Linked DNA regions of Arabidopsis thaliana. The protein of the gene in region 2 interacts with the protein of the main gene of each other region in a pairwise test. Each region holds a gene or a part of one and is shown on either strand. Other genes may lie near its edges.

Region 1 (7,369 bases), about 16 Mb from region 2:
CGTACATATAGAGGTAGATTGTTTTTTTTGTGTGTGTTTATAGGATTATTGTTAATATTTTCAATGAAATGCAGTTGAGAAAAAAAAAAAAAAACATATGTGTAATAGACTGAAGAAACAACAACCCAACGACTTGTTTAAGTGAGAAACAACTGTCTCATACAATACAACTTGGGATCCAAAGTTTTGGTTCCATTAATTAAAGCTTTAATTCCAAAATGATTAGCAACGAATTAAAAGACTTATTACAAACAAAATGCATTCTTACAAATTAAGAAGCATAAAGTACTGACAGAATATAATTAAAGATAATGTGTGTGTGGTTTAAGGCCAATGTTTTGTTGCTCTAAGAGATTATTCAACAAATCAAGAAGCATAAAGGGTCAAGCTTTACTTCACCAAGAACTAGTTAATGCTTCTGAATTTTCTGTTGCCTATCTTTCAATGAATATTAGTATGTCCCAATTGTTATTTTTTTTTTTTGCTTATTATCATTGAGTTAAACCATTTTGTTTCTGTTGGGTTTTGTGTAGACATATGTGAGATTCACGGGTAACACAATTTAGTTACAACTCTCACTTTGGTTAGGAGATGGATAAACTAATGACTAGTGAGATTGAAATATCACAAAAATAACTAATCTTTATGTAAATTCTATTTTCATTCTAGATATTAATTAGTCCTTTATTTATGAACATTTATTCACACGATCACAAACTTAAACAATTAGTTATAGAATATTTTACCGGTCTAATGTTCACATAGAAATTATAATTTACCTATACGCCTACAAGGGACAAATGACTATAGTATACTCATTTTTTCAATCTAAAAAATGGTTTTACTTCATAGAGATCCTAAATTGATAACATTTAAAAATGTTTTTTTCTTTTCTTAAAGAAGAGTCTTTCTTATTTATTACAGTTTTGAGATTGACAGGCTTTGGAATTGTTATATGGAATCAGTTTTGACTGATGAGATATGATGTCAGGAGAAGAGGCTCCCACTAAAAGCCATGACTTCATTGAGAGATTTTCTAAGTATATCAAATTACAGTCTGGCTAGATAACAATTTTGTACCCAAATAATCATTTTTCTTATTTTAACCTTTTGCTTCCTCTGTTTTTTCAATGTCCTTTTTCTGTATTTTTGCATTTGTCATTCAATAGAGACCAAATTTAGATTCCAAAAATGAGAAAAAGAAAGAAAAGAGAAGTGTCATTTCAAAGATACAGAGAGTTTTACAAAAATGGAGGAAATCAGATATTTGTCCTTAATAGCACTAATCAAACTGAAAAATAAAAGTCAAGAATAAAAAACAGAGTCATTGCATAATGCAAAAACTTTGTTAGAAGACTTGTCCGTTCTAAACTTTGAAGTAACTGGTCTAATATAGAGATCTTTAAAGAGTGGTTTCGAGCCAATTTTGATGGAACGATCAAACGGGAATCGTCTTCAGTCCAGCGGCGATTGGCATACCCAAGAAACCTATGAAGATACTGAAGATCCATTGTGTTATTGTGAGTGGTGTTGTGCTTGCAAATGTGCCCAAGAACTCGATGATTATGATCTGAAAGAAAACCGTTGCACCGATCACAACCACAAAGACGTAATTGTCCAGTATTCCTTTGAAAACATCGATCTCTTCCATCTCTCGCGAGCTTATCTCGTTAAACACCTGGAGTTTTCAGAACCAAAGTCATGTCAAGAATCTATCTTTATAGCTCGAGTATTGTTATCAGTAATCTTTGTTCTTTACCTGACAGAAGACGAAGCAGTTGAAGATAAGAGTGTTTAACATGAGAGTTGAGTCAGGACCGTCGAGACCAAACATAGCCTTCCCTTTGGCTTGGAGAATCCAAATTACGATGAATTGGTAAACAGCTTGTCCTAAAATGTTCCTCCACATCGCATTAGTGATGAAATTGCCTCTCCTTCCAACAGGTAAACGCTTCATCAGCTCGTCGTTTGGTGGCTCTGTAGCTAAAGCAAGAGCTCCAAGTGTGTCCATGATCATGTTCACCCACAACAATTGAACAGCAGTTAAAGGAGCACTTCCTGAAGATTATCATAAGAGCTGTGTCAAACAAGGAATCCAAAATGATTCTTTTCGAGACATTGAATTGGTATTCTTACTAAACCTACCGGTTAAACAAGCTGAAGAGAAGTTAACAACCAGTGCAACAACATTAACGGTAAGCTGAAACTGAACGAATTTCTGGATGTTTATGTAAACAGAACGTCCCCATTTAGCAACTGTGACGATCGTGCTGAAGTTATCGTCGAGAATGATGACATCAGCGCTCTCTTTCGCCACCTAAAAGGTTATACAGATAGAAACTTTTAGATTCTTTAGCTCTCACAAATGACATAACAAAATCTTATCATATACTCACTTCAGTTCCAGCAATTCCCATTGCTAGTCCAATATCAGCTTCATGAAGTGCAGGTGCATCATTTGTTCCATCTCCAGTGACAGCAACAACTTCATCAAACGTTGTCCTTAACTGTTTCACAAGTGTATGCTTATCCATTGGTGAAGAACGAGCCATCACCTGTATAAGAACATAGGAAAGGTTATGTTTCAAAAACTAAACAAAAAAAATTAAGTCTTTAGTTCATGAAACAAAAAGCACCTGAATCTTTGGAATCAGTTCTAGTAACTCTTCTTGATTCTTCTCTCTGAATACGGGACCTTCGATGGCTATACCGTCATCAGTTAAAATCCCACATTCTCTAGCAATTGCTTTCGCGGTGTTAATGTTATCTCCTGTAACCATCCTCACAGTGATTCCAGCACGGCGACAAAGCTCAACAGATTCTTTAACTCCAGGACGTACGGGATCTTTGATTCCCACAATCCCTACGCAAGTAAATCCAGAAGCCGGGATTGCATCATCCGGCGAAAACCCGCCTTCAATATCCATATAAGCAAGGCAAAGAGTTCGAAGAGCTTCATTAGCAAACTCGTTGATTGTAACATTCAGATACTTGATTGATTCTTCATCAAGTGGAACAACCTCACCGCTCGAGTTTACAACTTTGTCACAAGCAGCTAAAACAATCTCGGAAGCTCCTTTCGTGTGAGCACGCATACGTCCTCCCTCAGGAAGCTCGATTACAACTCCCATTCGCTTCTTTGTGGAGTTGAAAGGCTCAACTTTGATCACTTTGTAAGACTTCCTCTCTTCTTGGAACTTACCTCCAAGAGATAACCCCAACTCTAATATAGCAGTCTCTGTTGGCGTCCCCAAAAGCTCGGTTTTCCCATGTTTGTTGACAACAACTTCGCCTCCTGTGTTATTGAAAATCGATTGAATCAACAACTTCACCGCAGATTCCGGGATTTCTGATTGCAAGCTAGAACCTTTATTTGCTACATCTTGCACATTCATGCAAATGCAAGACTTCACAACGGTCATGTGATTGGTTGTGAGTGTACCAGTCTTGTCACTGCAAATCGTCGTTGCAGATCCCATAGTCTCACATGCTGCTAAATGCCTCACAAGAGCTTTATCGTTCATCATTTTCTTCATGGCAAACGCAAGACTTAGAGTCACAGCTAAAGGCAATCCTTCAGGAACCGCAACCACAACGATTGTCACAGCAATAGCAAAGTATTCCAAGAGCTCCAATGCTTCATCACCAGACCAGACCCAGTGAGTTCCCGTTGAAAGCTTCCTCATAAACATTCCTTGCACCAGAACCGCGAAAGTAACCACCGCAAAGAAAAGACCAATTTTGCCAATGATGGTAGCAACTCCATTGAGTTTCACCTGCAGTGGAGTTTCATCATCCCCTCCTTCGGTCAAAGTCGCCATTAGCTTTCCCCATTGAGTCCTCATCCCAACTGTAGTAATCATCATCTTACAAGATCCATCTTGCACTTTGGTTCCAGACATAAGGAAAGGATTCTGCGCATTCACCATCACAGGCTCACTTTCACCAGTCAAACTCGATTCATCTATCACCACAGAGAATCCCGAGAGGAAAAGACCATCAGCAGGAACCTGATCTCCAATCGCCAGATGAACAATGTCACCAGGAAGCAAGTCGTAAATCGACAGTTTCTGTCTAAACCCGTTCCTTGTCACCTGAACAGTGATCTTCTTCTTCTCTTTATCCAAATCACGGAACTGCAAAGACTGGCGGTAATCGCTAGTAGCTGTAACAAACACAACCAAGAGAATACTAGCCGCAATGCCAAGACCATCATGTGATCCTTTAGGCCATCCTTCAGTAGCTATCCCAACAATCAAAGACACGAAAGCACAAACACCAAGAATCATAAGAGTCATATCCTGAAGAGCTTCCCATACAAACACCCAGAAACCCCTCATTTCGCTCTCTGCAAACTTGTTGATTCCGAAAAGCTCTTGCCTTTGGGATAACTGAGCAGCCTCAGTAGAAAGGCCATCTGTGGGAGATGCCTTGAGCTTACCTGCAAGCCCATCAACTCCACCATGGAACTTGAGCTTCTTAACATCATGACTTTCAACAATTGATCCTAATTCGTCAGCACAAATCTCAAAGCCAGCAGCTTTGACATCTTCAGGGACAGTGTAGTCACTTGGAGAAACACCTACAACAAAAACTCACATAAACAAACAAACAAACAAACAAAAATCGAAACTTTGACACAAATCAGCAACTTTGATCACATATAAACTCACCAGAGATAAATTGGAAAGCAGCTTTGGAAACAAGAACAGCGATCCTTAATTTCTCCTGTATATAGAAAGTTTTTAAGATCCTTCATCGCTATACACAAAATCCATCTAAAAGTTCGAAGATTTCAACAAAATCATTAACAACGATGACATAGAAGAAAAAGAAAAGAGACAAAACCTGGTTGGTGCGACGCATCGCGGCGGCTTCATAGCGTTTAGAGAGATTAGCGGTGAAACGAAACCGACGTTTAGGGTTCTTAACAACGCCACAGAGATTACGCCATTTCTCAAGCACTTCCTCTGAAGAATGCTTCGCTTTCACATCGAAATTCTCGTTTAGGTAACTCTCCATCTTCTTACTCCCTCTTCTTCTTCAATCTCCTCTGTTTTTTTTGTCTTCCAGCTTCAATGGCTTTTTTGTTTGGCTCTCTGTTTCAAATTCTTCTGTATATTTGGTGGAGAAGAAAAAAGGAACCTTTTTATTTTTTGGTGGGTGAAGAAGAGAAATCGGAAGCTTTTAATGGAGAAGAAAGGTAAAGTTTTTTTTTATTCAAAGATCTGAGTTTTTTTTGCTTAAGCATTTGACCGAGTCGTTGAGTTTATTAACATTTGGTGATGAGAAGCTGAGTTGACTCGTTTTAAATTCGTGTGTCCAACAAAGTTTCTCTTACATTTTTAATAAAAACATTCGACTTATTATTGAAGAGAATAATTAAATAAAGACATGCACTACTTTCCATTTATAACGAACGTTAAATCATTCTTGAAACATTCATGCAGGCCATGACGAGTACATTACGCGTTTATGTTATTATTGTTGAGTTTATGATTGGTTTTTATTCCCAAATTTGTGAATGAATGTGGACATTTTATAATTAAAAAAATTAGAAGATTACAGAAAAAAAAAGGTTTAAAAACTAGTAAAATACTATGGATGAGTAAATGACGTAATTTTTAGATTTACTCAATATAATATATACTGTATAGAAAAAAATGGAATATAATATACAGAGAGTTTTAATTGGACCATATTTTGCAAGATTTTTCTAAGAAGTTTACCTTTCGTAGCTTTGGTTTTTTGTTGTTTGGCTGCTCACGTTGATTTCACTTTGACCAAATTGAATGACAATTGTGGGACAAAAGTGCGGTGATTTTTGACAATAATAAGAAATGGGGTCGTTTATATAAATAAAGAGAAATTGGAGGACCGTTGACCCAGAGACTATTGCAAAAAACCCGACACTTCGGGGACGCCACGTTGGACCAAGCCCATTGGTTCTATTTGGACTCAAAAACATTGATTGCTTTATGTCTTTTTATTATTCGTTTGGTACTAATTGCTTATGTCTCTGTTCATCATTCTAGTTCAATAACTAGTGTTTTTTATTCTTCTCCAATTGAATAATGCGTTTACCTTGACTTCATGGAAAATGACACTTTCAAAAAAGTTGGACATGCAGATTTGGGCTTAGAATGGGCCTTTATAGGCCTTGAAAGCTATTAAGATCTTTCTTTACACGGCTTTGTTTGCTTTATTGGCCTTTAGGGCCTAACAAATTTTGGGCTCTGGTATATGTTTGCTTCTCTAAAATATTTGGGATGCTTTTGAGAAAGAAAAATAAACAATAAAACTGTTAATCATTTTTTTTCTTTAAGCGATTCTGCTGAGTTATGTGTTGGACAGGCATTGGAACAGCTGTGGGATGACGTTGAAGTTGCTCGTGTGGTTGTGGTCTCCGATTGTCACTCTGCCATGGGAAGCTAGTTCGTTACCCCATAAGTTGCCAAGATTCTGTGATCTGCTGGATAAAATTCACAGTTTAGCCATTACCAAAAAAATAAAAAAATCACAGTTTAGCAACGGTTTTGAAGGTTGTAATTTCACTTGGTCGCGGTTCGGACTGATGTCACTGCTCCTGCTATCGCTAAAAGTGTGACTAGGGAAGGAAAAATTCAGTTATATATGGGACTAAGAAAACCAGCTTGGTTTCATATTCAAGTGGTGGACGAAGTTCGTTGATGAGATATTTGTTGTGTTACGAAATCCATTAACCAAATAACATTTTGCAATCATAAAAAGTTGTTTGAAAGAGGTCTAGACGTACGTTGATGACCCATAAATTTGTGTAAATTCACAAATATATATTTTTCGGATGATTCTACACATATCATATCAACCTCCATGATTTTGGTATGCCGTACAATTTTTAAAAAACTTTAGCCGGTGTCACTTATATGTAGTTTTAGTGGGAATAGTCATGTCAAAATTATTATTTTGAGTTAGGTTTGATTGAGTTGGTTCTAATAATGTATGATATTTTCTACATCATTTGCTCTACATTGTTCCGATTTAGATTTTACAAAATGGTACGAAATTGGTCACCTAAAAGTCTGTTTTTTTACCTTTGTGTGATTGATGGGAGACCTACAGGTTTTTTTTGTCTATGGCTTAATTGAAGGATAGTAGAATATTTTTGTAAAAATATTTGATCATTTCATTACTAATCGAAAAAGATAAGTTAACGGTTCATTTCTGGGGCTAAACAATCCTAACCATGGGGAAGATGTTTTCTCCAAGTATATAAATCTTAATTAGCATACAGGCATGCATAACAACCAAATTAGCGAATGAATATGGGTTTATATGCGAGAAACAAATTAGGGTCTACTGTATACATAAACAATGTAATTATGCATTT
Region 2 (4,289 bases):
ACGCGGAGGTTCTCGGGTTTCTCCATGCCTTACAAGTGATATGGATTCACGGATTGCGTTATGTTTGGTTCGAAACCGATAACAGAGACCTTGTAACGTTACTCAACAATGACGAGGATCATCGCTTGCTTGGACCTCTTCTTTGCGATATACGTTATTGGATGCTAAAGCTACCCTACTGCTCAATCGACTTTGTCAATCGGGAGAGAAACTCTGCAGCTGATACAAGCTCACTACACGCCGGTGTCTTGTTAATCAGAATGATAAAGCCCCAAATTTGGTTCTGAACCTTAGACCCATTTAAACAAACCAAAGGCCCAATATTTGTACAAGTTTAGGTTAATAAACTTTAGTTCAGTACCTCAGCCCATTTAATTTAACCAAAAGCCCAATATCTGTCCAAATTTTATGATGGCATGCCTAAATTGTTGTATGGGTGATGGTGACGCTTAACACAATTGTTTTTCAAATTCCTCTAATACTGCGACCCATTTACTCTGACGAAAGTGACATTAGACGTCCAGATTCATTGTTTGCGTTAATTTATATGATGCATATTGGAGAATGGCGTTTACTAAGAGGGCTATATTAATGTCTATGTCTGGAGGATCAAGAAATTAACAAACTATGTGTAAATATTAGTAATTTAGATAAGTATGAAAGAGAAATAATATATAAATTAAAAATATATTTTTTAAAAAAATTAATTATAAAAATGCCATTGAATAAAAATAATTGTAATATGCGAATGATAAATATATAAATATTTGTTTAACGTGCTAAAAGCTATGAAATCACGATAAGATTATATATTTATCAATTTAAAATTGTAAATCGGTATTTTTTATTTATGTAGATTCAGCATAATAAAAGAGAATTAAACTTTTTGTTACATAATTAACATGATAATAATTATAACAACATGATATATAGAATAATAACATGCTAACTTATTGTATAACAAAATAATATTTATATGAAAACGTTAAGATATTCGATATATGAATAATAGTTAACGAAGTTAACCTGATAACAATGAAAAAATTTAACAATAAAAATCTACTCCTAATATCTACTCCTACAGCATGCAACATTATTGCTCTATACTCTATAATTGACTTAATCAATAACATAGGGGTACATGCGTAAACAAAATGCTAACAGTAAAAAGGGAACAGTTAAATTGAGGAGAGTTAATTATCCAATTTTCTGAGCATATGCAATGATATTTTCCTTACTAAAAAAGTTTCTTGAATCCTATCCTATCTAATAATGTTTTTACTATGTTGCATACAATTTTTTTTTTTTTTTTTTTTTTGGATGTTAATGATATTTATTTTTTATTTGGGGTCTTAGTTTTGGCTTATAAAGATTGTATTAATTGTTTGAATATCCATTGTTTTAAGTGATTATAAAATGCTTATAAACAACACATCTACTTTATCATTCTACATGTGCATTATTTGAAATTCAAGGTAATTGAATGTAAACAAAGCATCACTCATCACATTTTAAACATAAAACACCTACAGTTTTTTACAATGTGCTCTCGCATGTCTTGAAGATAAAATAATTAGTCTATGATCATGTATTTTCCATTTAGACCGCAAGAGAAAATGGTTAAGCAAATAACCAAAATTAAAAACAAGAGAAGGTAAAAAAAGAAGAAAAAAAGTTATTATCAGCTCAAAGAGCTAAAAAAGCGACCCTTTTTCATCATTTGTCTAAACTCCATGTAATTAACCCTACCATCACCATCAACATCCACTTGCATTATCATCTTCCTACATTCCTCCAAGGTCTTACCTTGCTTGAGTCCCAAGGAAGATAAAACCGCTTTCAATTCATCCACCGTTATAAACCCATCTCCGTTCCGATCAAATACGTTGAACGCTTCCTTCATATCTTCTTCTCCTACCTCGTCCTCATCTTCTACCATTATCGTCTTGTAGAGCTCTCCAAACTCTTCAATGTCAACACAACCGTCACCATTAACATCGATCTTTTGGATAATTTGTGTTAGTTCGTCTTCGGGTATTATGATACCGAGGTTCTTGAATGACTCGTTCAGCTCCTTCGTAGTGATCTTCCCGTCTCCGTCCTTGTCGAACATTTGGAACACACGGTTCAGCTCCGTGGAATCCATTTGTTTTAATAAATTTAGGGCTTTTTGGAGGTTGCGTGTGGAGGAAGCAAATGTGAAAAAAGAGAATGATGAGACTCCTAGAAGCCGAGAAAGAGGTCTTTCTTGGCCTCTTGGAGACCCGATGAGGGTAGTGTCAGAAATCAAGGAGAATGTTAAAGAGAATTGGTGGAAATTCTTAGCCAAAAGCTCGAGGTAATAACATGTAAATGGGACAAAAATAGGAGAGATAGAGAGGGATTTGTTTTATTGTTGGTTGAGAGGAAATGTTGGGTCTTTTAAAGGAGACTTGTGGCTTTGTATCGAAGTCTTCTAAAAGTTTTATCGGTTCTATAAAATTCAACCCAAAAAACATATTTGTATATTTAGCAATTCTTTATGAAATATTTACTAATATTTTTCATAGCCGAACAAACAAGATTATAAACATCAATCTACTTATTTTACTTAATCATAGTTACTTTACCATTTAGCCGGCAAGAGACCAAATCATTTCGAGTGGTGAGCCACTATGTGGTACTGTCCCAAGTTTGTGAAGTCTTTGACTTCATTTTTATGATAAGAAATCAAAAACAAAATGTCAACGAAAATAATAGTTTGTTATTATCTCGGTTTATTGATTGATGTATGCTCATATGGACAAATAATTACAGCAAACAACCTGATGACTGGTGAATATATTTGTAACATCCTTGAAAAAAATAAATGATAACGTAAAATTAAAGCAATGGATAAAAAGTGCCCACACGCAGGATCGAACTACGGACCTTCAGTTTACAAGACTGACGCTCTACCACTGAGCTATACGGGCCTTTGATTTAATCTTTCAGTAATGTATTTAAATACCTGTTTTGATTGCAAACACACCTGATCTTACATGTACCATTGTCAACAAACAAAAGCTAATTACTCCCAAAGTGACCCTTGAAAACGGGAAATTAAAAAAGAAACTTGGGAAGTGAATGAACATAATATTTCATATAAGAGGCAAGAATTCACAGAGTAATTGCGATGAAATGTAGCTTATACATTATAAGAACATTCAAACAAGTCTTACACAAAAAGACCAAATCTTTCTCTTTTTCTTGTTGAAGAGTCTTAAGACCACCATGGAGCATCACCAGTCCTGAAGTCAGTTTCCACCCATGGAACAAAAAGAACCTTCCCAGCTTCATCTATATCCGCGTGAGCCAACGCTAGCGACTGTTCCATGAAATTAAGGTTACTTTAGACGGTCCACTTTAGAGATACGCAAAAAAGAAAGAATGCAATGTATTTGACTTACCAATGGGGCTGGACCTCTAACGACTCTTCCTTGGGCGTTGTATTGGGATCCATGGCAAGGACATAGAAACTTGTTCTCAGCTTTGTTCCATGGCACAACACATCCAAGATGAGTGCACACTGCGTTGATACCGTATGTCGCTAGAGTCTTGTCGTTCTCTACAACTAGGTAAGTCGGATCTCCCTATAACAAATAATCCACACCCATTGAGATGCAAGAACCTTTATTGAGTTCTTAAAGCAGTGTTTCAAGGAGGGCTAAATAAGTTGTTCATGATCTTACCTTTAATCCTTGGGTCAAGGTTCGGTCACCGGGACCATGAGTCTTAAGCCATTCCGCTGCAACTACATCGTTTCCAAGGGCATCCTTGGCTGGAGTACCACCACCTCCACCTCCGGTTCTGCATTTTCAAAACAACGTAGAGATTATAAACCAAGACCAACGAACGAAAATAAACTATATCAAGTCTCATTAATCTCACATCTCAGTAACACCAAAGAAGCCATATACTTATTCATAACTACATATTCGATTGAATCAAAACCATAAGCTAACAAAGTAACAACATACAAGAGTAAATTCAAACTTCACCACAATACAAAAGAGTCTCTAGATTTTATCTATCTAATGCAATCATTATACTGATAGAGTTGAGGTCTAGCTCATAAGATCCATGGGAACCTAGGTTATGGGGAGAGGAACCAATGAACACATATACCAACACTCTCTCCTCTACCTTAACGATGTGGGACTCTTATCATATACAGTAAAAGAAAAGAAAACCCATGAATCTCATTCGAAAAATGAAATCAAATCGAGGAACAGAGTAAAAGCAATCTCACCCAGGAGGAACAAAGAAGG

The links.
Region 1: the proteins of AT4G03290 (region 2) and ACA2 interact in a two-hybrid assay, tested with the Arabidopsis thaliana proteins (one large-scale study listed by BioGRID).

Annotation. Positions count from the first base shown.
Region 1 is NC_003075.7:17,681,787-17,689,155, forward strand, and holds ACA2 (calcium ATPase 2), read right to left. Parts: upstream 5,320-7,369; 5' UTR 5,023-5,319; coding exon 4,849-5,022; intron 4,729-4,848; coding exon 4,674-4,728; intron 4,583-4,673; coding exon 2,637-4,582; intron 2,556-2,636; coding exon 2,397-2,555; intron 2,318-2,396; coding exon 2,146-2,317; intron 2,059-2,145; coding exon 1,760-2,058; intron 1,679-1,759; coding exon 1,439-1,678; 3' UTR 1,073-1,438; downstream 1-1,072. UniProt on the Arabidopsis thaliana protein: This magnesium-dependent enzyme catalyzes the hydrolysis of ATP coupled with the translocation of calcium from the cytosol into the endoplasmic reticulum.
Region 2 is NC_003075.7:1,440,670-1,444,958, reverse strand, and holds AT4G03290 (EF hand calcium-binding protein family), read right to left. Parts: upstream 2,414-4,289; 5' UTR 2,147-2,413; coding exon 1,682-2,146; 3' UTR 1,321-1,681; downstream 1-1,320. Other genes in the region: AT4G03292 (Polynucleotidyl transferase, ribonuclease H-like superfamily protein), read left to right, coding at 1-287; PETC (photosynthetic electron transfer C), read right to left, coding at 3,242-3,346, 3,429-3,611, 3,711-3,828, 4,271-4,289. UniProt on the Arabidopsis thaliana protein: Potential calcium sensor.